Rhinolophus ferrumequinum: one gene and its partner. The protein of the gene in region 1 interacts with the protein of each later gene in a pairwise test. Links are inferred from orthologs where the notes say so. Each region holds a gene or a part of one and is shown on either strand. Other genes may lie near its edges.

Region 1 (11,284 bases):
GGAAGTTGCTGCTGCCGAATCCGCCCCCTGCCCGGCTCCGCCCCCACTCCCACCCCAGCCAAACTTTTCAAAAAGGGTAGGGTTGTTCCTTCTTACAACCATAGTTCAACAACAAACCCCTCTTAATCCCGATTCCAAAGTTGAAGCGTGACCCGGGACTTCGCAGTGTTATTGTGGAGCCCACTAAGTACATGCTGTTTCCCCAGGCCCTCTGCAGGCAGAGAGACTAGGGGAGACCCACTGGGATTTCCTGATTACCACCCCCTTCTCCTTTGCAGCAGGTCCCGCTCCCACCCCACCCCCACCCAGTCCACAGAACAGACCGGGTGTGGCATAGAGAGTTGCATATTTTACTTTATTTTTATTAAATTAAAAGCTACAGTCTGGCGGCGATTCCAGAACAGGGTAAGGAGGCTCCTTAAAGGGGGCAGAGAAGAGTGGGAGAAAGACAGACTGACAGAAACAGACGTAGGAAAGGACAAGGTTAAGGTAGATGGGGAACTGCTTCTGAAGAACACACGTCATGGCTCCCCTGCACAGAAGTTCAGCAGTGAACAGTATGGGGTGGGGGGTGTTCAAGAGACCTTCCCCATCCCACCCAGGTCCTTTCTCAGCTTAGTCACTGGAGCACAGCACATACCAGAAAAAGCCAAGGGCAACAGAGGGGGCAGGAAGACTGGGAGTATGTACAAGGGGAGGAGGGAAGCAGAGCCTTCCAGATCAGCATCTGTCAGAAGGGAGTGGCTCACAGTGCACTGAAGCACTTGGCCTGTGGGTGGACAGGGGAAGGGATTACCCCCTCCCTCTCTGAACTCCTTCCCTAGGCAGACAGGTCCCCTACTCTGTGATTGGGGGGGCAGAGGGAGAGAGGAGAACAGAGGCTTCCGTTGGGTCCTAGTGGAAGAGAATGGCAGGGGCCTTGGCAAAGGGGATGTCCTTCAGTCATCTGTGATACCCTTGGCTCTCAGCTCCTCTTGCACTCGGGTCAGGTAGGTGGGGTCCGGGTACCCAAACCTGGGAGCAAAGAGAAATGAGGGTCAGGGTTAGCTGTTCGGCTTTACTCATATTACCCCCATGCTCACTCTCATTCTGGGTGCCCCACTGTGGCCCCACTCCCTCTTCCCTAAAGTAATCCAAACCCAAGATAATTTAGCCCAATTATTTCTATAGGTTAAGCTGGTCACATCAGGACCAGGTTGAATGTAGGAGAAACTGGGATGGAAGAGATGGTTGAATAATTTGGGGGTGGTCCTCTCCAGTTAGGAGGCTCCCAGAAGGAGGGGGTTGATGTTGTTCCCTCAGTGGAAATGGACCGAAGGGGCAGAGCCAAAGAAAGGGGAATGAAGGAGTGTCGCACAGCTGGGGTCCCCCTGTGCAGCTGGTCTTGTGGTGGATGTCATTCCAGGTGATGACATTCGGTCTCCCTGTGGTCATGGACGTGCCAATAGTGAAGGTGAGACGCTGGTCAAACGCCTTGCGGAACAGGGTCAGCACCTTGTTGCCCTCAGGGCAGTCCGGGAGGTAGGCCACCCGTGTGGTGCCAGGATACCGAACTCCTGGGTTTGGGTGTTCAGCCTGGGAGGAGGGGGAAGCAAAGTAGGCAATGAGCAGCTGGGCATCTTAAGGCCACGATGCCAGTGGAAGGTCATGCTGGCCAGCCTTCTGTCTGTGCACGCCCAGCTAATGCTGACAGGGCAAGAACAGGCTGACAGCCTTTCAGGGAAGGAGAGACTCTAGGGTCTGGGCAGCAGGAGCCTGTGTCTGGACAAAACCCTTATTGTTAAGAGTTCTTTCTCCCCATCTCAATCCCTCAAGTCTCAATTCAGCAACAAATGGATTCTCAGAAGTGATGGAAGGTAGCTGGTCCTTACTCTCCAGAAAACTCAGCAGAAATGTGAAGACTGAGAATAATTTATCTTTCAGCCTTCCCTTCTCCACCTGAAAACACTCCCAATACTTCTTGCACTGTCTAACCTGTTCCATTTTTCTATTACTCTTCTTCAGAGCTTCCTCATCCCTCTGAAAAGAACTGGAAATTACTCTTTGTCAAGCAGGAAGACAACTATAGGCTCTTGAACATTTCTGTTTTAAACTTCCACTGTCATTGAGGTTTTCCTCTCTCATAAATCTGGAATGGAGTAACACTCCTAGTTAGGAGGGTCAGATCCCTTCCTGCTTGTGCATGCCTGCATCTGAGCCACCATCTCCAGAGAATTCACCTCTGCCAAGAATAGTTGTTGGTATCCAAGTTCATCAAGGAAATAGTACTCAATTCCTTTCTTTCATACCTGATTTTCATGTGTGCCTTGGGGTCGTGGGGATGGAAAAGTTGGACCTCAAGGGGACCTCCTAACTCCAGGGCACTGAATGGGAATGCCTTCTGGAAGGCAGCAAGACTGTATCACATCTAACAAACACACTCCCCTCCCCCAGCTTTCCTAGGTCAGAGAAGGAGCTTGGGGTAAAAACCAAAGGGTAAGGGCAGGCCGAAGTCTCCTTACCCCCTGGACACCGGGTGGGAAGACATACTGGATGACGATGGTGCCGTATTTCTCATAGCTGGGCAGTAGGAGCGTGGCGTCCTTAGAGACCAGCATCCTCCCATTCTGGGGCTGGTTGCCCACCAGCTGCCCATAGAAGCGGCCACACATGGGGCAGGCCTTTTTCACCTGCAGGGCCCGGGTGATGCAGCCTTCACAGAATGAGTGCCGGCACTTCTCCAATGTCTTGGCATTCTGGATCTCCCCCAGACAGATGGGACAGGTGCTTTCCTGCTCTTCTGCCTCCTCCCGAAGGCGGGGAGGAAGAGGAGGAGGCAGGGGAGGAGGAGGTGGGGGGAGACCCCGTGCCCCTGGGGGCAGGAGTGGGGCTGCTCGGAGAGGGGGTGGGCCTGGGCGGTGCAGCTCAGGGTGCTCTCCCCCACCCCCCAGAGCCAGGCAGCCCATAAGCTCCCCCTGCCTCTGAGCTTTCTTCAGCTCTTTCTCTGCCTCTTTTAGCAGCCCCTTGAGAGCCTTCCGGGCCAGGTAGAGCCCATTGGGAGGGGCTGGGGGAGGGCCCTGTGGGGAAAGCTGGAGAACATAGATGTCAGAAGTCTCGCCATCTATGAGGATGGACACTCGATGCTCCTCCCGAAGCCGGGCCAGCCGGGCTGGGGTCTCCTTGCTCAGGAAGTCCCACACAGGCTTGGAGACAGTCACTTTGTTCTTGCAGGTGCCTCCACAGGCTGCCATTCTGGACAGGACGAACGACACTGCCCCCAGGGTGAAAGGGACTCAGGGTGGGGGGGGTCCCCATTTGACAAATATCAGTACCTCCTACTTCAGGTTCTTTTCCAACCCTAAATTATCTCTACTTTCTCAAAGTCCAACCTCCAACTCTTCCCCCAAGTTCTTTTCCTTTTTCTATCTCTTCTTCTTTCAAACCCCGGCACCCACAGAAGAGTAAGGAAGTTTCTAAACATTATTATTCTCATCTAAGCCAAGCATCAGTCTTGGTTCTCCTTTCACTCCTCCCAAGATCACAGAAACAATCTGCCCCTCCCTCTCCCTGGGCGAAAACTGGGTTCTGTAAAAGAGAGGGAGACTTTTCGACCCTCCTTTTTGCTCACTTTGATCCTGAAGAGCTTAGAAATGGCATGCAGGCTCTCTCTCTGTCCCTGCTCCCTACTTGTAGGTGGTGTGACCTGGTAGGTGGACAGGAAAAGGAGGGTAAGTGAGAAACCCCTTTCCCTCTTCCCATATGCCCCAACCCAGCAGCCCACATACCAGAGATGGGAACCTGGGTGTAAATTAGTGGGAATGGCATTACTTGAACATAGAATGGAGGAAACCAACTTAAAGGTGAAAGCTGAGGTTCCCTCAGGAGGCAGATACCTGGAAAGCTCATGGACGATGACAGAAGCAGAAATCCTTCTGTTCCCACACTCAGCTGACCAGGACTGGAGGGAGGGGGGAGGGTAAAGGGTTATGATGACATATGTTACCATTTTCCCCAGTCTGCCCAGAGACAAAACAAAAACTTTCATTACCTCTCCTTATCTCCTGCAGAATTCCATCCCCAGCCTCTCCCCAAGTTGTTAAATAAGGAATTTCAACATGCTAACTTTCCTCTTTTCTTCCCCAGCTCTGAGGCTCTCAAGAAATCCTAGAGCATAGGTAAGTCAGGGAGGGGAAAGCCCACACAGATGAAGGTCTTTCTTGCCACCTCCCTCAGATCCCATGGACAGGAATATTTCCTGTGCTCCACATTCCCAGATAATTCAGTCCCTATTGCTGGGGAGCCTTCCTTGAGAGCCAAACCAGTCCCTTCTGCTGAAGTCCGTTTGGAATGGAAACTAAGTGGCAGCAGCCCCTGCAATAACAAAGTTCTCACTGTCACCTTTCAAACCCAGCACACGAAGTGCAAGCCGGTCAGCAATCTAGTCTGCATTTAGGGAGGGGTGGGGCTCACGCGGAGGCTCCGCCGGAGGAGTCTGAGGTTTCCCCTGAGTCTTGCCATGTTCAGCACCTACAACCTCCAAATGCAGCTCAAATAGAAAGAGGGGCCATGAGTGATCCCAAGGGGAGCGGCTCTTCGTTTGTGTCTCTGTCATAGACCCCTCAAGGCCAGATGCACCTCGAGATTCAGAAAGTGAAACTGGAACCCCTAGAGCCTCAGCTCGTACTGTCTATCCAGGTGGAACACCCTCCACCCCTCATCAGAGAGAAGCCAGGACCTAGGTGTCCTTAGCTCCAAGTCCTGATGGCACAGAAAAGGGAGGCGGGGCCAGTTTATGCTGGGTCTCTAGATTCCTCTGGGGCAACCCAGGCGGGACACGGGGCCAGTCCCTCCCTCCAGACAGGGACCGACAGCAGGGGCAGCAGGGAAGGGCAAGGGTCCCTGGGGGCATCCGCTGAGCCTGCTGCACCCCTCCCCCCACGACCTCCTGCAAGACCCGACCCGGAACCAACTCCCCAAGTCCCCGTCTCCCCATCTCGTGGAGCCCCCCGGAGCCCTACCACTGGGTATGGGTGCATGTTGGCGCGATCGCAGTCCCCAAAACCCCCAAATGGAGGCCAGGGCTGGAGGATAACAAAAAGAGGATCCACCAAACGTGGAGGGGGCCCCGGAGCCCCGCACGGAGGAATGAAACAGAGGAGGGGGCACAAGGGCAGCGGGAGAGCGCACGAGGGGTGCGAGCGGGTCCGGGGGGGGCGCGCGGTGGGTGTGGGGGCGCCGGGCTCACCTACCTCTCGTCAGCGCCGCCATTGCCGGTCACATGACTGAGGCTGTTGCTGGGATGACGGCCTGGGCCTTAGCAACAAGGGGGGGGGGAGACCCCTTGAAGGTGGGGGTAGTGTGCAAGGGGTGCAGACTGTGAGGGAAAGGGAAGGAGAACTGCACCTCCTCCCCCTCCCAGGTGACAATGACCGTTTCCTTTGACCCCTTCTATCCACAAGACCCTGCCCTTCCGCCCCAAAACAAAAATGGAGGCGCCCTCCCAGTCTTTGGAGGGAAGGAGTGGCGTCGTGGAACTGAGGGTAGGAGGTTAAATCCGTTACAAGACGCAACCTTTCTCGCTACCCACTCCCGGAGGAGCCCTCTCGCTTTTTCTTTCCCAGCCAGCTGCTTGGCAGCTTCTAGCTACAGAGGAGTGCTGGTCTAGGTAGATGGGGAGGAGGGCTCAATTATTTTGTGATCCTTATGCTATCAGGGTCTTTGAGGAATAATATGGGATGAGTCATAGTAGAAAGGAAAGCGCTGGATCTAAAAAATAAACAAACGCCTGGACTAAACTATTTCAATCCCTCATCTCTTGCCTTTTCCTAGATTGTGACCCCCACAACCCGCTCCCAGATGGGTATTGGTGCTTCTCTGATTGTTTTCTTTCCACGACAGGGAAACTGAAGTTGGTGCAGAATGGGAAGTGAATACGTTTTTTTTTCAAGTGCCATGAGGTGGTGGTAGTGTCAAGTCTATGGTTCAAATAGAGTTAAAAACTCTCAAAGAAAAAAAAAACTCTGCTCAGTTCTGCTTCCCACATCAGAGCAATCCCCGCCCCTAGTCCAACTCACTTCCCTGGGGTCACATCAAGCCAGGTTTTTCCACCAGTCCAGACCTCCTTGGCCAAGCCATACTGGGTCTTCCAGACTGGCAACAACCTCTGCCACCCATCCCCTTTCTTCACTCCCCTTCTGAGCTGGAGGGCTGGTCACTTTCTTCCCTTTCCCAGGACCCTGTTGTACTCTTCCTGCCCTCCAGGCAGAGGACATCTTTCCCAGGAAGCCTGGGGGAACACTGAATTCCTTCTCTTTTAGCTGCTGGGCTGACAGACTATCACCTTTACAGAGTTGGAGATGTGACCAAGCCCAGGACCCTGGGGGAAAAGGGAAGGTCACATCATTTCAGCTCTCCCTGGCCCCCCTATAGCTGAACGGCCACAAAGTGGGAGAGTAAGTTTTCATTCCCATGCACAATCCTCACAAACTTTTAAGTTTACAGCCATCTATCTAGAAACCCACACCCTTAGTTAGGGGACCAGTACCTTAAAGATCAGAATTCTTCACCTGGTCCGTGTACCCCTAAGCACAGGCTTCTTTAGAAAAGGAAAACCAAACCAAACAAACAAACAAAGAGGCATTTCTGTGAAGGGATTTGGATTCAATAATTTAATTTCTATATAGTGACGGCAATGGGAGTAAATACACAAGATCTTTTGTATTAATAAAAAAAGATGAAAATCAGAAGCAACAAATGAAGACCATACTGCTCATGATACATTAGCCACATGGTCAGAAAACACATTTCTAAAGAACAGTTGCTGGTGTCATGGAGTTTTATTGCATTCAACAGGGGAAAGGTAGATGGTTGGAATGAAAAAGATCCATCAGGCTCCAGACAGGATGATATCACAGGGGCTCCAATCCTTAACTGGGGACTCTTCTTTCTTTGGAGAAGATGGAGGGGAGAAAGAATTCTTTACGACCTCATGACTTCTTGTGAGACAGATCAGTCCAGCCAGATACAGAGAAAAGAATCTTTGCATCCCCACAGGCCAGTTGCTGGTGCCCATCTTTGTGTTTAAGAAAAAAATGTAGGAGCCTCAAGGGGTATGGAGGATAGCAAGAATGGCTGCCTTAGCCCGAAAGGCATTGGCGGGAGGGGAGGACGCTATCTGGGCTCATGATGGTCCTCTACATTCTGAGAATATCATGCATCAACTCAACTATCTTTGGAGGGGGCAGGGTGATTGAGTTATGGCTCTGATTCCTCTCTGGGGGTGGAGAATGAAGATGACAAAGGCGGCCATCTGTCCCCTGGGAAACACAGTAGCAGTATAAGACGGGACAGAAGAGAACAGAATAACAAATCCAACTGGGGAAAGGGTTTGAGAGTGGGTGGGGGAAGGAAGTATGCTAGGCACACACCTCCAGAAAAGGTTCCCATAATTGAGACCTCCATCCTCTTAAAATGGCCGGGGTTGACCCAGGTAGCGATATTCCCTTCTCCTGGGAATAAAACTTCAGGGATGGCTAGACATGAAGAAGGGAAATTTAACATGCGGAATCTACCTTATACCCCTGGCCCATCATCCCAGCCTCCAGAACTGGCCATACCCTCACCAAAGGGTTCCAGGGCCAGGGGGGGTGTGTGATCCTGGGGAAGAGCAGCAGAAGTCAAACACTTTCACCTAGGCTTGAACACTGTGGCCATCCATCTCTGGGCTCCTGCACCCACAAGTACAGGGGTGGTAGTGGAAGTGGGGTAAGGGAAGAGATTGGAGAATAGTTAATCCTTGACAGAGACCTTCTCCAGTTCCCTGCATAATCACAAGAGTCCTCTTAGGTCCCACCTGCATGAGGTGCCAGCCTGCTGACCACTCTCCACCCCACTTGTGTGTGTGAAACTGGCCATATCCCATCATATGCGTGCATTCCTGCACCCACATCTGTAGTATCATGAAAGTCTTCCATCCCAGGGCCTACCAGAAGGAAGCATTCCATAATAAGTTCTATAAAGTTATCAGCAAAATTCAGACACTTAGTTCATCCCACACAGCAAAGTGCATCCAGAGTAGTTGCTTGAGCCAGGTCCATCTGTCCAATCAGGTCCTGAAGACAGCAAACAACCCCCTTCCCCCAGCTCCTCCTATGTTACAGAAACAACGGGACATTTTACAAAGATCAAGGCACTTGAGAGTCAACAATTACACTCTAACAAATCAAGCAGACTTCTTGGAGGAGAGGGAGAGAGGGAGGAAAACTGGACAAAGGGTAGAAAGGATGTATTTCTGAGGGCCACGAAGAACCTACTCAACAGAGCCTGTAGCCTGAATTTAGCAAAGAGGAAGAGAAGTAGTGGCCAGAATATCCACAATTCCCCCAAGCCTCTCTGAAGAACCCCACCACCTTGAACATAAAGCAGCAGTCACCATGGAGTCTCTTAGGCAAAGATGTTGGTAATAAAATCCAGGAACCGCTTAGCATACTGCTCAGGATGGACAGTAGATATCTCTGCCCCAGCCTGTGAGAAGAGATTTGGAACATGGTGTCAGGTCACCCCATCACTCTCCCATTTCCCATACTCCATTCCATTCCACATCATTTCTACACCCAACCCTTCATCCTTTTGCCACCCACTGCTCTAGCACAAGAGGTTCTCTTCACAAAGAATAGTGAACTCAAGACAGGAAAGGAAAGGCCCTGGGGAACCCTCACCCCATGCTTGACAGTTTTGGCTGCATGAGCTGCTTTCTTCTTGGCATCATACTGTGTCAGGATGTCAATGAGGCCCATGAAATACACCTCCTTCTGAGGGGCCCCTGGGGAGAGTAACCAGCAATGAAGGACAAGCACAGTCCCAATTCCCTCTCCCCAGGAACCAGTTAGATCTGTTCTGAAAACCTAACTGGACTCTCCACCCACCACCCTGGTCTCCATCCCCCAAGGACCATCATCCCCACCTCAAAATTTCCAGGATCTCTCTCACCCTCAGCACTCCGGATAGCGTAGACATCAATGAAGGATTCAAACTCTCCAGGTCCCAGGGGCCGATGGGAATGGATGTAGCCACCGATACCCTCGGGGGAGGTGCCATAGGAGCCCACCAGAGCTGGAGGTCCGGTCAGGCCACAGTCCCCATCCCCCTCTGACTCCTCTTCCCGCACTGGCCCTTCCTCCTCGGTTTCAGAGCCCCGAATGATGTCATGGATGCCCAGCAGAAGGCTGTAGTCCATGATCTTCAGCTGCACGAGGAACTGAGACCCACCGATAAATCAGACACCCCAGATCTCCCTCCCCACTCCCAGGTACTACCCTTATACCTCCACCCCTGAATTTCTGGGGCTCTCCTGGAGAAAGGATGTATAAAAATTGAGGGTTGGGAGTATACCATTTTCCTCTAGTAACAAAATGTCCTGGTGTCTAAGATCATTCTTTTAGCTCATTCCAGCCACCTCCTCTATGGGTCACCTCTAGGGATTTTTCATGTCTCATACTCAACTCCCCGACATGCAGAGAACCCAAAGAATAAAGGGGAGGAGTTCCCTCAGATCGTGAATGGAGAGACAACTGCCCCCCAGGGAAGCAAGAAAGGAAACAAGACCATTTCCCAGAGCACCCCAATCATCACCTCCACATCTCGCTTCAGCTTCTCTAGAAATACTTTCTTCTCTTCTTCACCAATATAAACTTTCTGGTTCTTGTTAAGAAAGTCCATATCCTTAAGAGTGGGCAATTCTTTAACCTGAGAATAGGTAAAGGGACACCTTGGGAAGCTATCCCTTCCCCCAAGGCCTCAGAGAACCCTGCTCTCTCTAAGGCTCTATGTGGAACTCAGTGGGCTCTAGGAGAGAGAGACCTGACAGCCCCTCTCTCATCTGACTCCACACCGGGATGCTGGCCCCCAGTCTGTTCTCACTTCCAGTGGCTTCCCCAGACTCAGTCACTGTAGATGTACCCCAAATCACAGCTCACTACTTTCTGCTTATGGTTTTCATCAAGGCCCTCGATGCTGACTTTTCTTTCTTCTTAAGCAAAAGTAGCTGCTTGTCTAGGAGAGGCCAGAGTAGGAGGTGGGAGGTAAGCATTGTGCTCTTTAAGTCTGACATTCTCACCCATCCCCAAACCTTCCAAAGGGAATAATAAACCACGCCAGTGACAAAGCAGCTGTTCCCACTGCCCCTTCCACACAATCCCTGGATTGGTACAAGGTTACATCTCTCTCCTAGTCAGGGGTTTAAGATAAGAATAAATAGCTGGTAATACGTGCCTCTTTATCCTAAGAAGATCCCTTTCATCTTCATCCCTCCCCTATCCCTCACCCTAAAATTAGTATCACCTTTTCCTTATCAGTGGCTTCCCGGGACACAAGGGAACCCTGTGGAGAGAGACCCAAAGATGAAGTCAGCAGAAGTGGCTTAAAGAACAGTCAACACCCAGCTCCTAAGACAAGTATTCAAACCTATAGCCTTCTTTCTTTCAAAGGAATCATCCAGTGCCTTCCCGGGTCCTTCCCACTCTCAGGCGATGAGGAGCACCCCCTCCGCCCTCGCTCTCCTCTCCTTACCTTGAGGTCATACTTCCTGTGCACAGGAAGACGGTGGCTGAACATGTTGCGCATCACAAGCATGTAGCTGTCCTCACTGTCCACGCTGACGCGGTACATCCCCAGGAACTGGGGCAGCAGTGTGTTGCCATGGCACTTCACAATGTACTGGGCGGAAGGGAGGAAAGAATAGGGGGAGGCTGAGCAGCAGATACACAAACAGCCCACGGGTGGGCATTCAAACACTCCCATTCCCGAGTGGGCAGAGAGCTTCAAGTAGAGAGGCTACAAGAAGGTCAAAAGTGGTGGGCGCTTTCTGAAGACGCCCTTGGTTTTCCCTGCAGTTTCTGAATCCTCATCTCCTCTGCTTAATTCATTTGCATACTGGCTCAATTTTAAAGTGCCTTCTCTCATTTCATAGCTATCATTCTTTGAGACGGGGAATGTAGGTGTTATTATCCTTATTTTAGACCCTCTTTATATGCAGATGGTCACAGAACCAGGATTAGAAATTACGTATGTTTATCAACTAACCGATTTTATCTAGATCAATGTTTCTTGCTGGGCTAGATTCCTGTAGTAAAAATGTTTGCATGATGCCTGTAGTTTGGATTCTTACATAATTATTCCTCTTTCAATGTTACCATCTCTCTCTCCTTCAATACTGCTGCCTACTTCTCTTCATAGCCAACCTTCTCAGAAAAGTAGTCAGCAATTAATCCACTTCCTAGCTCTTATTCACACCTCAAACCAGTGAAAT
Region 2 (11,408 bases), on another chromosome or scaffold:
AAAAAAATATTCTCAGTTCAGTTCACTCATTTTTGTGTCCGTTATCCCTGACCCCTTCAGGATATGGGATGAAATATGCTATATTCTAACAAACTTTTTTTGTTAATTTATCAAATCTTTATTTTCTGATAGCATAAACGCAATAGATTCTTATATAATAAATTTCGTTTCCCAGTAGTCCATTTTCTTGCTTTCAATTTGTGGCCTGGAAGGTATTCAGATTAGCACTGAACTCACAACAACTGTACTTGGCTGAGGAACACTGTGCAATATTACTCTTAAATTTGTGAATATGTAGGTCTAGGTGCAATGTGGGTAGCATAATTCCAATTGACACTGAATGCTAAAATTGCAAATAATTTTTATAAACATATGTCACAAGAGTCAACCAAATGACAACTCAGCTCTTGTAAAATAATTTTAATCTTAAAATTTGATGTTTATTATTTATCATTTATATTTTGCCTTTTAAATTTTGTTTTAAATATTTAAGAAAAATAACTTTTTTTGAAAACATGATTATTTTGACAACCTTTTACTGATGCCTCTCGTGTTCAAGAGATCAGCATCACAATGATCTTGACATAACAAATGTCTGGATAACATTTCAAGGTTGGCATAATTTGGGAAGCTACTCTTTACCCTCTACCAACTGTGGGAAAAAGGAAGTTTATCCTTCTCCCTTCACAAAGATCCAAAAGATCTTATTTATTTATTTATTTATTTTTTGGATGCTGTTTGTCTGCTGAAGCTTCTGTGGTAGGTTTGGCAGCTACCCGTTTGAGGAAGGAATCTCCTGCTAAGTCCAAAAGTCTTTTAGTTTTTCATCAGTTGGCCTCAGCCTCAGAAGCAATCACTCCAGAGAGAGACTCCCTCTGCCAATGACAGAGGGAGTAAAAAGAAGGACTCTAAGGCAGGGAAAACTGTGCCCATCCTAACCCTCCCTGCCCAGGCCCTAGCCTCAGTCACCTCGACCCACGGCCATGATCCTGGGGCCACTCACAGGAAGGAGGAGTGTGTGCCACACCAGGACGTTGGCATCATCGCTGACCAGGTTCCGCAGGTACCTGGGAAGCTCCTTTTGCAGATCTTCCAGCTCCTGTGGGGACACAGTGAAGGGCAACTGGCTAGTCTTCCCTACTTCAGCCACCGCCCCCTGCCCCAGCACAAGCTGTGCCAAGTCCCACACAGGACACCCTAGGAGACAGAAGCCGGCAAAGTCAGAGCCCCCATTTTCTGGCGCACTCGGTATGTGTCATGCCCGGTGCCACGTGCTGTAAGTGATTTCTCCAATGTTAGCCTCAGCACAGGTCTGGAGGTACGGGGAGGAATATACAGAAGGTGAGGACTTGAAAGTCAACTCTCCTTGGAGCCTTTCCTCTTGAAACCAAGGCACTTAACCTCTGTCCTCTAGTCCTTTTCCTAGAGAGTCACAAGGTCCTAATACCCTCCCTCTTTCCCTTCCTTCCATAGCGTCCACTGAGTGTCCAGCATGATGACATGCCCTTACAGTGCTCGTGGCAGCAGAGACGTCAACTCATGCCTGTCAGACTCCTCCCGTCCCGCGCTGGGGAAGGGCAATGACTCAGATGCACCGCAGCAGAGCAGAACTCTATACACCAAGCAGAGAAACAAGGGGACAGGAGTGACCCACCTTCTCAGAAATGTGGCCCAATCACCTGGAATTCTCCCATCAGCCCTTTCCTGAGCATCCTCTACGGACACTGGACTAAGACAGAGCCCAGCTCTCAGAAACTTCATCGGAGTAATGGTGGAAACAGGAATGTGCTTAGGTGGACAATGTGTGGAGACATAATGGGGAAGGAAAGGAGAAGGCAACAAGAAGGCTTCGTGCAGGGTGACAATGAGCTGGGCCACGCGGAATAAAATAAAGCCCACCATGCAGAAATGGGGAGAGGAACCAAGACAAAGGGCCCGGTCAGAGTAAATGTGCATAAGTGTGTACTATATAGGCAAGGGTAATAGTTATTACAGGAAAAGGGTCCCATGGTCAAGTACATTGGGAAACATTAAGCTAAACAGATTTCTTTACTGTAGGACTTCCCAAAGTCTTTATTTAATATGCTATTGTGTATCATGAATCTCCAAGATGTGAGCCCACAGCATGCGGTACTTCCCAAACTTATTTGACTAAGGAGCCCTTCCAGAGTCCATCCTGTGGAACGACAGGCCTCTTTTTATTGGGGGGGAGGGCAATTACAAGATTCAAGATTAAAGGACATTCAAGGGCAGGTCTTATCCTCTGAAACACCAAATAATTGTAAACCAGTGGTTCTCTACTGGGGGCAATTTTACCCCCACAGGGGACACTTGGCACTATCTAGAACCATTTTGGTTGTCACAAATGAGAAAGTGCTACTAGCATCTAGTGGGTAGAGGCCAGGGATACTCATAAACATCCTACAACAATTTATCTGGCCCAAATGTCAATGGTGATGAGGTTGAGGAACACTGGTATAAATAAAAGGCAAAGACGAAGCTTCCCACAGCCCTTCCATGGTTGGGGAGGGGTCCTTTAACACTGTGGACCACCTAAACTTTCTCTACGGCCCCATATATAAACACACCCTGTTCTCCATTGCTAGCTTCTAGCACATACTCCATCTCTGTTCATACCAACAAACTGCTTCTTGCGTTTTCTGCCCAGAGTATATTCTATGATCCTCATTTATCTTTTTTTTTTCCCAATTACAGGTGACATTCAATAGTATGTTAGTTTCGGGGCGGCCGAGTTGGCTCAGTTGGTTACAGCACGAGCTCTGAACAACAGGGTTGCCGGTTCAATTCCCACATAGGCCAGTGAGCTGCGCCCTCCACAACTAGATTGAAGACAATGAGCTGCCGCTGAGCTTCCAGAGGGGCAGCCGGATGGCTCAGTTGGTTAGAGCGTGAGCTCTCAACAAGGTTGCCAGTTCAATTCACATATGGGATGGTGGGCTGTGCCCCCTGCAACTGAGATTGAAAACGGCAACTGGATTTGGAGCTGAGCTGCGCCCTCCACAACTACATTGAAGGACGACGACTTGGAGCTGATGGGCCCTGGAGAAACACACTGTCCCCCAGTATTCCCCAATAAAATTAAAAAAAAAATACTATGTTTAGTTTCAGGTGTACAGCATAGAGGTTAGACATTACCCTCATTTATCTTTACCCCAAACTAGAAGCATCTGCTACTTCAAGTCCTAGTTCCAATATCATCTGCTCTCTTTGGCAAGGCCAAGGTTGAATGAAGAAGCTGTGGGATGAACACTTCCTGATTTTACTGTAACTGGGAACACTTGGACTTTATCAGTTATAGATGTGTTCTTTCCAACTTTTCCCCAAGCTAAGGATGTTGAAACCCCAGTGAGCACACACAGTTCTTTCCTGAGGCCTGTGAGGAAATCACCTGACTCAGAGGAACAGAAAATGAAAGTAGAGAGGCCACTAACCTGGGCTCAAATCCCAGCTCCCTCACTCCCTACTGGCTGACCATGACATCTAAGTCATTCTCTCTGAGCCTCAACTTCCTCATCCGTAAAATGGGGGTATATGACTTATGTCACAGGGTTGCTGTGAGAGTAAGATGAAATAAGTAATGTAAATGGCTTGTCACTTAATTGTGCCAGTGGGATAAATACCAAATACTGGCTCCTAGCTCTTTCCAGTTTGGCTGGCAAGATTCTCTGCCCCGTTTTGCTGCCAGCCTCCAGTTCTGGGTTGCGCCTGCGCTGGGTGCCCCAGTATGAGACCATTTTCTTCTCAGAGGCTGAGGACAGCAGGCACTCCCTTTTACCCCCCTCACTCTGTCCCCTGCACCCTGCACGTTGGAGGGGCACTTTTCAGGGACTCAAAGTCCGGGGGATATCTGACCCACTTCACTAAGATTGCTCTTCCTTCCCCATCTATCTCCATCTGCCCGGTATACCCCAGCCCTGCAAACACCCTGGGTTTTTCCACCTCCTGGGGGAAATCCTCCCCTCCCTATCCTTCCAAACCTTCCCTTCAAATTGTTTCCCTATTTGGAAAGAAAGCTCAGCGAGGGCAGGATTTTTGCTAATCTCTGCCTAGAATAGGAGCCTGCACACAGTAGGCATTCAACACTTGTAGAATGAGTGAATGCACACACCTACTCCAGGACACCTTGCTGGTCTGCCTTGGCAGCTTTTCCTCCCTGGAAAACCCCGGGTACCTAGCTCCTGACTCCTACTCAACATCCAGACTTCTCAGGATTCTAGATTCCAAATGTAGGTACCAAATTAAAGAGTGGGTCCTCGGCCATTCCAAGGCAAGGACCTTGTCCTGGTTATCTCTGTTCATAACCCACCCACCTCCGCCCCCCAACCACCCCCAGTAGAGAGCGTGGCTCCTGAATCCCTTGGTCACCTGAGATGCAAGCAATTGTAATCACAAGTTTCTGGCAGGAGAAAAGAAACTGAAACCAGTTTGCGGGAACAGGCTCAATCCCCATCCGCAGCGCAGTTCCGGGAGCCAACAACACCCCCGCCGGACGTGCCCTCGCCCCTCAAAACTCCAGCTCTGGCCCCTCCGGAAGACCCACTCCTCCTCGGGGAGGGGGCGGGGATGACAGGGCTCCGCCAGCCTCGCAACCCGGACAAACAAATGCTCAAGGGGAGTCGGGGAGAGAGAGGAGGGAGGAGGAGGTGGGAAGAGCGAGGGGAGCCGGGAGAAAGGGGTCGTCCACACAGTTACCTTCGCCACCCGCTTGCTCGCCGTCATCTCGGCGCGGAGCGTGGGACCCAGCGAGTCCAGCGAGACTGTCCTCCGGCTTGGTGGCGCCCCGCCCCCGAGACGCCACCTCCGGGGGCCCCGCCCGCGCGCCGCCCACTGGTGCGCACGCCGGGCGGTACGGAGCTGATCCCCGCCTCCTTGACTGACACTGGGAGCCGCCGAGGGCTGGACCCTGCGGGCCCCGGCCCGGTCCGCGGCGCAGTGGGCTCGGGTCCCCGGATCTCGCGCTTTTTGTCGGAGGACCCCGAAGGCGTAGGAGCAGGCGACGTGGCCGGATCCCTGTATCCCACTGGGGGGCGCTGTGCACCAGTATGTGAGCGCTCGGAGGCGCGGGGCTGGGGTCTACCCATCCGGGTTCTGGTTCCAGCGCGGATTCTGGTTCACGCTCCACCGCCGGACGCCGTGCAGGGAGGCCCCATTCTCCCCGCCGCCCCAAACACACAGTCTCCCTAAGTCAATACAGGATGTTGGCTATGCAAACGCAGCTCCCGACTGTTCGGCGGACTCCACCATCAGTCCGCGGCCCAAAGACACACACACACACACACACACACACAGATAGACACACCCGCCAGCGAATTCCCGGAGGCTCCCTCCCCCCCCACACACACACAGACGCCAGCGAATTCCCGGAGCCCCCTCGACGAGTTATTTCCCCTCTCTGGGCCCAATGCCCCATCTCTAAAAATGGGTAGGGACGACGCAAACTATACGCCCTCCAAGCACTCCTCCCCTGGCAGCTTGAGATCCTTTGTGAGGTGCAGCCTTCGGTGGCCCAAATACAAGGACGTTTCTTTCCCCCAGGTGGTTTGCTTGGTGAAGAGCACCGCAAGGAGGCGCTTTTGGACCCATTCGCTCTTGCTTTAGGGTTTGGGTTCTTAGGTTTAATAGTTAGTCAAGTGTCTACTATGTGAGGATTGGAAAAACAGTTGGGGGGGCATTAGCATGCATGTACTATACTGAGTGTCAGGCACTGACTTTAGGGAACAGCACGATGAGAAAGTGGGCTCCTTGTCCTTGAGGATGAATGCATTTTTCATGCAAAGTGGTTAAGCACAGGATATATATGGGGAACCATCTGATGCTGTGGGAGCCTGGAGGAGGGTCACCTGATGCAGCCTCAGGGGGGGGCAAAGGTATCCTGGGAGAGAAAAAATCCAAGTGAATTGCAAAGCATAGTGAGTTAGCTAGAGTAAAAACGTGGGATGAGGGTGTTCCCAGATGAGGGAACAGCGCAAGCAAAGGTGCAATGTATGGAAACTGAAAGCAGTTCCATAATGTGGAACAAAGTCTGTCCAGCACCTTCCTTTCTCGTACAGAAGTCCTGCATCCCCAGAGTAAATTCAAAGTCGTGGATTTAGCTCAGCCTCCCCATCCTGGGATGGATCCTAACCACCCACACAGCTGGAAGGCCCATGTGCATGGCCCTTCATATCCTTACACAGTACAGACCTTTGTGTGTAAGAATGAGTCCCAAGGAGACCTGGACTCTTGTTAGTTCTACATTTGCACCCCAGTGCCACATGGCCTTGGGTGGGCTGTGGAACCTCCCACCTGCTTCCCAGGGCCACTGCCAGGCTCAGTTCACAGAAGTGGAGGAACTTTGAAAATTGTAATTCCCAGATATAAATAATCAGGATTCAGTCCCAGCTCTACTATTATTGGCTGAGTAACTTGGGCAAATTACTTAACCAGTCGGTGCCTCCATCTCCTCATCTGTAAAGTGGAGCTAATAATAGTGAATGTGAGGAGTAATGAATTGATATTTGGACAATAAGTGATAGTCATAATAATGTAATATTTGCCTCTGTATGCCTGTAGCATGTCTGGAAGGATATGAGAGACTGTGATGGTCTTTGGGGAGGGTAACTAGGTGACTGGGTATGGGATGGGGAGGAACACTTTTCACTAAAATCCCATTTCCTTTAAATTTTTTTTTTTTTAGATTTTATTGGGGAAGGGGAACAGGACTTTATTGGGGAACAGTGTGTATATCCAGTTCTTTTTCCAAGTCAAGTTGTCCTTTCAGTCTTAGTTGTAGAGGGCGCAGCTCAGCTCCAGGTCCAGCTGCTGTTGTTAGTTGCAGGGGGCACAGCCCACCATCCCTTGTGGGAGTCGAGGAGTCGAACTGGCAACCTTGTGGTTGAGAGCCCACTGGCCGATGTGGGAATCGAACCAGCAGCCTTCGGCATTAGGAGCACTGGAGCTCCAACTGCCTGAGCCACCGGGCCAGCCCCTCCTTTCAAATTTTTGAAACATGTAAATAAACTACCTCTTCAAAAATCAATAACATTTAAATTTTACAATATTCTCTCTTTAAAACTGAAAGGTTTTTGCATAAAAATTTGTATTCCTGGATTCTCTAAAAACAGGAGACTTGGCAATGACCCCTCACGGCAATGGTTGGCTGGAGCCTAGTCAGGGTTGCTCCTTTAGAGCAGGAATGCAGGTCCCAGTTTACCACGGTCCTCACCACAGTGTTTTTCCTGGCCTGCCCAGCCTCATCTGCTTTTTTAGCTGCCTAACCCTGTAAGGATCCCCGGCTCTGGAGTCTCTTTGCACTTACTAACTTGCTATCTCTCAAACCCTCTCTTTTCCTTTCTTGCCCAGGGTCGGGCTTTTTCATGCCCCATGATGGCTGTGGCCTTTGCAAACAGGGAAGTGTACCTGGCTGGAAGGTGTGACAGTGCTTTGTTCCTGGTCAGGACCCTTCCAGGGACTTCACAGGGAAAAATTGTCATCTTCTACACTTGGATGAGGCAGGACTTTCCTTTTTGACAGCTCTTGTTGTTGCCAGAGGTCACAGAGACCATCTGAAAAAGAGTTGGGAAAAAAATACTTTTCAGACACCATAGACAATATGGCACCTCAGCTGTGATTTATAGACTCCAGTAGATACCGTGGGTGCCAAAAAAATGTATACAAGTGGAGACTTTGGTCAACGTTGCTCAAGCAGTAGTTCGCTGTAATCAGAAGTGCCTGCACGCTGATGGTAACCACTTTGAGCACTTCTTGTAATTGCAGAAGTCAAACGTGACTTGTATTCATTGTTTGTTATGGTATATATTATTACAATTTTAATACAGTTTTCCTTTCCTAAAATGTGTATGCATTTTTTTGGCACCTTCTGTACATTTATGTTTGCATGTTAGAGACTAACCTGGAGGATACTTAAGAACCTGATAAAGTAGTTATCGGTTTGGGAGGGAAAAAATGTTGCCTTACATACAGTACACCTTTTTCAGATTGTCTGCCTTTCATCATCTTTGAGTTATTGTACAACTCCCTAAATTGTAGTAACTTATAGCATGCAAAATAATTCTTATAGACCTGCAAATTCTTTCTGTCCAACAGAAGTTTAATTGACTTTCTTTTCCCCACCCCATGGAAAAACCAGTTTTGTTTTATTTACATGTTTATTTCAATATTCTTGATCTACAAATGTGTCTGTTTTCAGATTCTCTTTAATTCTGACATCTGCCTGGTTCCCTTGTTGATTAATGAGTAGAATGAAGTCTTGAACATGTGTCCATTTTATATCTGTACGAGAGGCATGATTTTGCCTTTTTCTGAAAATTATCTTTAATGAGTTGTAGACTCATCTGGAAGGATGCTTAAGAAACTAATGAGTGGTTTATCCATTCTGTGTGTCCTAGGATGGGGTAGGAAGGAGACCTCCTTTCCACTGTTTTGTACTTTTAAAATTCTCTACCATGTGAATAACTATCCATTCAAAACTATAAATGCATACAATATGTTTTTCAAAGAAAATTAAAAGAGGGAAACAAAAATAGGAAGCATAACCTAGAGATAAATAACATGGAATTCAGGGTCAATCAGACCTGGATTAAAGCTCTGACATTTTCTAAGTGATTTGGGGCAAGTTACTTACCTCTCTAAGCTTTAGTTTACCTATAAAATGGAGATAATAATACCTCATTCCCAAAGTCAGGATTACGTGAGATTTTAATATGCAAAATTTTAGCCCAAGGCCTGACATAGAGTGAGCACTCATAAAAATTCTGGACCATGATAATATAATAATCAATTATCATCGTCGTCTCCATCACCAACAAATCCGGTGTCCCCCAGGTACGGGATGAACCCACTGAAGGGGTGTCAAGCAATTTTAGGTGGTACTAAATCACAATAAATCGCAGATTGAAGAAGCTTTTTCTTTTTTAGTCTTGTCTGGTCCTTCTTGATTTCTCAAGGACAAAGTGTCAGTTTGGTGGTAGTCAGTCTTTCACACCTAACACATGTTAATTTCCCTTTTTCACAAGGAATGTGGAGGCACGGAAGGAAGGAGGTACAGAGATTTCAGCAAGCAGAATCAACTAGAATTTAGTAACATCATTCTATTTTCATGATGTTTCTTTCTCTCTTTTTTTTGCCACTTAAATTATATTTATTATATAAAGAGTTCCTACAACTTGATATAAAAAAAAAAGCAACTCCAATAGGTACTATAAAGACAAAGGACATCAATATTTGATCAAAAAGGAAACACAGCTACTCAAAAAAGACGAATATTTAACCTCATCAACAATCAAGGAAATGACTGGGATGCCATTGCTTTCTTCGTCAATGCAGTAGGTTAACAGCAACTTCTACTTTTTCTATTTTCTCAATGGACTCAAATGTGCTATTTTTTAATAATAAAAAATTGAGTCATTTAAAAACCAAACATAGAAAGTATGAAAATTTCTGCCAATGGCAGAAATCATAAAAAGCATGGAAATGAACCAACACTCGTATGGGCAGAAAGGTTCAGGTCCCTGGAAGCCAATTCCTATTGTCTTGTTTCCTGAGTTTTATTACAAGATTGTCACTAACGAGAAGGCTGTTCCTGATTTACACTATGACAATCTCCCAAGTATAGGGATATATATATGTAAATATATATATATATATATATATATATATATATATATATATATGTAAATATCTGGATGTAAACTTTGTCTTCAGGTAGACTATTATTCCAGGAAAGGATTGCTTCAGAATTACTCACTACAGAGGACTCCTCTGATTCCATTCACTGAGAAGGTCCCATTAAGATCTCTCCATGTGGAGCTCAACTGGTAGGGATGGCCTTGGTATTGAAGAGGCTGAAAATCTACTTTAGTGCTGCCTGCAAGACAGCAGTGTCCTAAGCTTTCTATAGCTGGCTCCTTAGGGAACCTAAAGTTGGTCCTGTCCTTTAAACATAGCCAAAAGGCACTTTTCCTGACATGATACAGAACAGAGTGTCTCTCCTGCTTGCCCAGATCATAGCCTTGAGGCAGATCACACAAAGCTCAGGACACACCAGAACAACCACCTCAAATCGAATAATTGTGTTAGAATGACTAAGTTAGGGGACTGAATGTAATTAAAATCTGATAGCTTTGTTCAGCATATTTCTTTCTTTGCTTTTATAATACCATAAGTTTTATTGATAGAAAGGTGGAAAACAGCAGAACCTAAACTTATTGAGCCAAATCAATTCTCTGAAACCTGAACTTTGCTAAATAATCTGTATAAAAGCAACTCTACAGAAAACAATATTCAGGAAAACTCCAGGAAAAGTAAAACAAGTTTCATCTGAAGTAATGATGTAAATGATGTTGGATCTGTCGACAGTTTCTGGGTGTGGGCTGGGATCGTGTCGCCTGAATCCAAGAATGGACACACGGACTAGGGAGAGGCAAAAAGTTCTAAAGGAAGATAGTTTATTAGAGGCAGGGGAAGAGGTTGCAGCTCCCGAGCGGGAAGGGGTACCCAAAACTGGGAAGCCCAGTGACTGAGGCAAAAGTTCTTACTTTTATACCTTCCCTTGCCTGTTTGGGGAAGGGGGCTGGAGACTTCTACTGGAATTCATCTATCAGGTTTGTCCTGTTTGCTCATCCTGAAGGGATTAACGAACCAACCCATTCCTATCTATCAGATCTGCTCCTTTGTCCGGCCAAAAGGGATTTGAGATAATTTATTAACCTCAAGGCGCAGTCTCATATCTTTGTCCTGGAGTGAAGGAGATATTCCAGAACCTGGAATTTCAGGATATGGCTGTTTTTTGTTTATTCCACCAGGGACCTTCCTGTCTAAATAACCAACCATGCTAACTAACCTGCTTCAGTAACAATTTAGTCAAATGACAAATTTGGTTATCAATTTTAATATGCTGTCGTCCTTCTCTATCTCAATTCAGTATGACTATTAGACTTTCTTCTCCCGCACTGAATTCCTCCTGGCGTTTCTTTTATAGGTACATTCATTCCAGGGCTGCATTCTGACTTTCAGGGGCCCTAGGCACTTTCACCTTGGGGGCCCCTTTCTTCATTAAAAAAAAAAAAAAAAGATTAAAAATTACATTTCATGACTATATTGGTATAAATATGAATAAAATCCAGATGGATTCATTATTATAGTTAGTTTTTCTTCTGTAAATGTTTAAAGAAATTAAAATTAAAGCATTTTTCGTAGGCCCCTCAAAATATTCTGCGCTTGAGGCCCTGTGTCTGGGGGGTCCTGATTCATTCTATTGATAGTGAGGGCTACCGATTTTCCATCTCCAGAGGCGATGTCAAGTTTCCTTTTTATACTATAAGTGTATTTAAGTAAACAAAATGAGTCCGTTAAACAATATTGCATTAGTCAGCTCGGACGGCCATAAC

The links.
Region 2: the proteins of DTX3 (region 1) and UBE2L6 interact in binary tests that used the Homo sapiens proteins (3 or more experiments, as listed by UniProt). The link is inferred for Rhinolophus ferrumequinum from reciprocal best matches to the Homo sapiens genes DTX3 and UBE2L6.

The regions. Positions count from the first base shown.
Region 1 is NC_046293.1:56,556,113-56,567,396, reverse strand, and holds DTX3 (probable E3 ubiquitin-protein ligase DTX3), read right to left. Parts: upstream 5,476-11,284; 5' UTR 5,229-5,475; intron 4,526-5,228; exon of another isoform or gene 4,378-4,525; intron 3,938-4,377; 5' UTR 3,873-3,937; intron 3,683-3,872; 5' UTR 3,637-3,682; coding exon 3,608-3,636; intron 3,251-3,607; coding exon of another isoform or gene 3,232-3,250; coding exon 2,502-3,231; intron 1,576-2,501; coding exon 1,358-1,575; intron 1,015-1,357; coding exon 939-1,014; 3' UTR 337-938; downstream 1-336. Other genes in the region: PIP4K2C (phosphatidylinositol 5-phosphate 4-kinase type-2 gamma), read right to left, coding at 8,422-8,502, 8,697-8,800, 8,968-9,235, 9,610-9,723, 10,318-10,356, 10,546-10,692. UniProt on the Homo sapiens protein: Regulator of Notch signaling, a signaling pathway involved in cell-cell communications that regulates a broad spectrum of cell-fate determinations.
Region 2 is NC_046294.1:11,571,808-11,583,215, reverse strand, and holds the start of UBE2L6 (ubiquitin/ISG15-conjugating enzyme E2 L6), read right to left. Parts: upstream 4,844-11,408; 5' UTR 4,741-4,843; coding exon 4,714-4,740; intron 1,100-4,713; coding exon 1,004-1,099; intron 1-1,003. UniProt on the Homo sapiens protein: Catalyzes the covalent attachment of ubiquitin or ISG15 to other proteins. Functions in the E6/E6-AP-induced ubiquitination of p53/TP53. Promotes ubiquitination and subsequent proteasomal degradation of FLT3.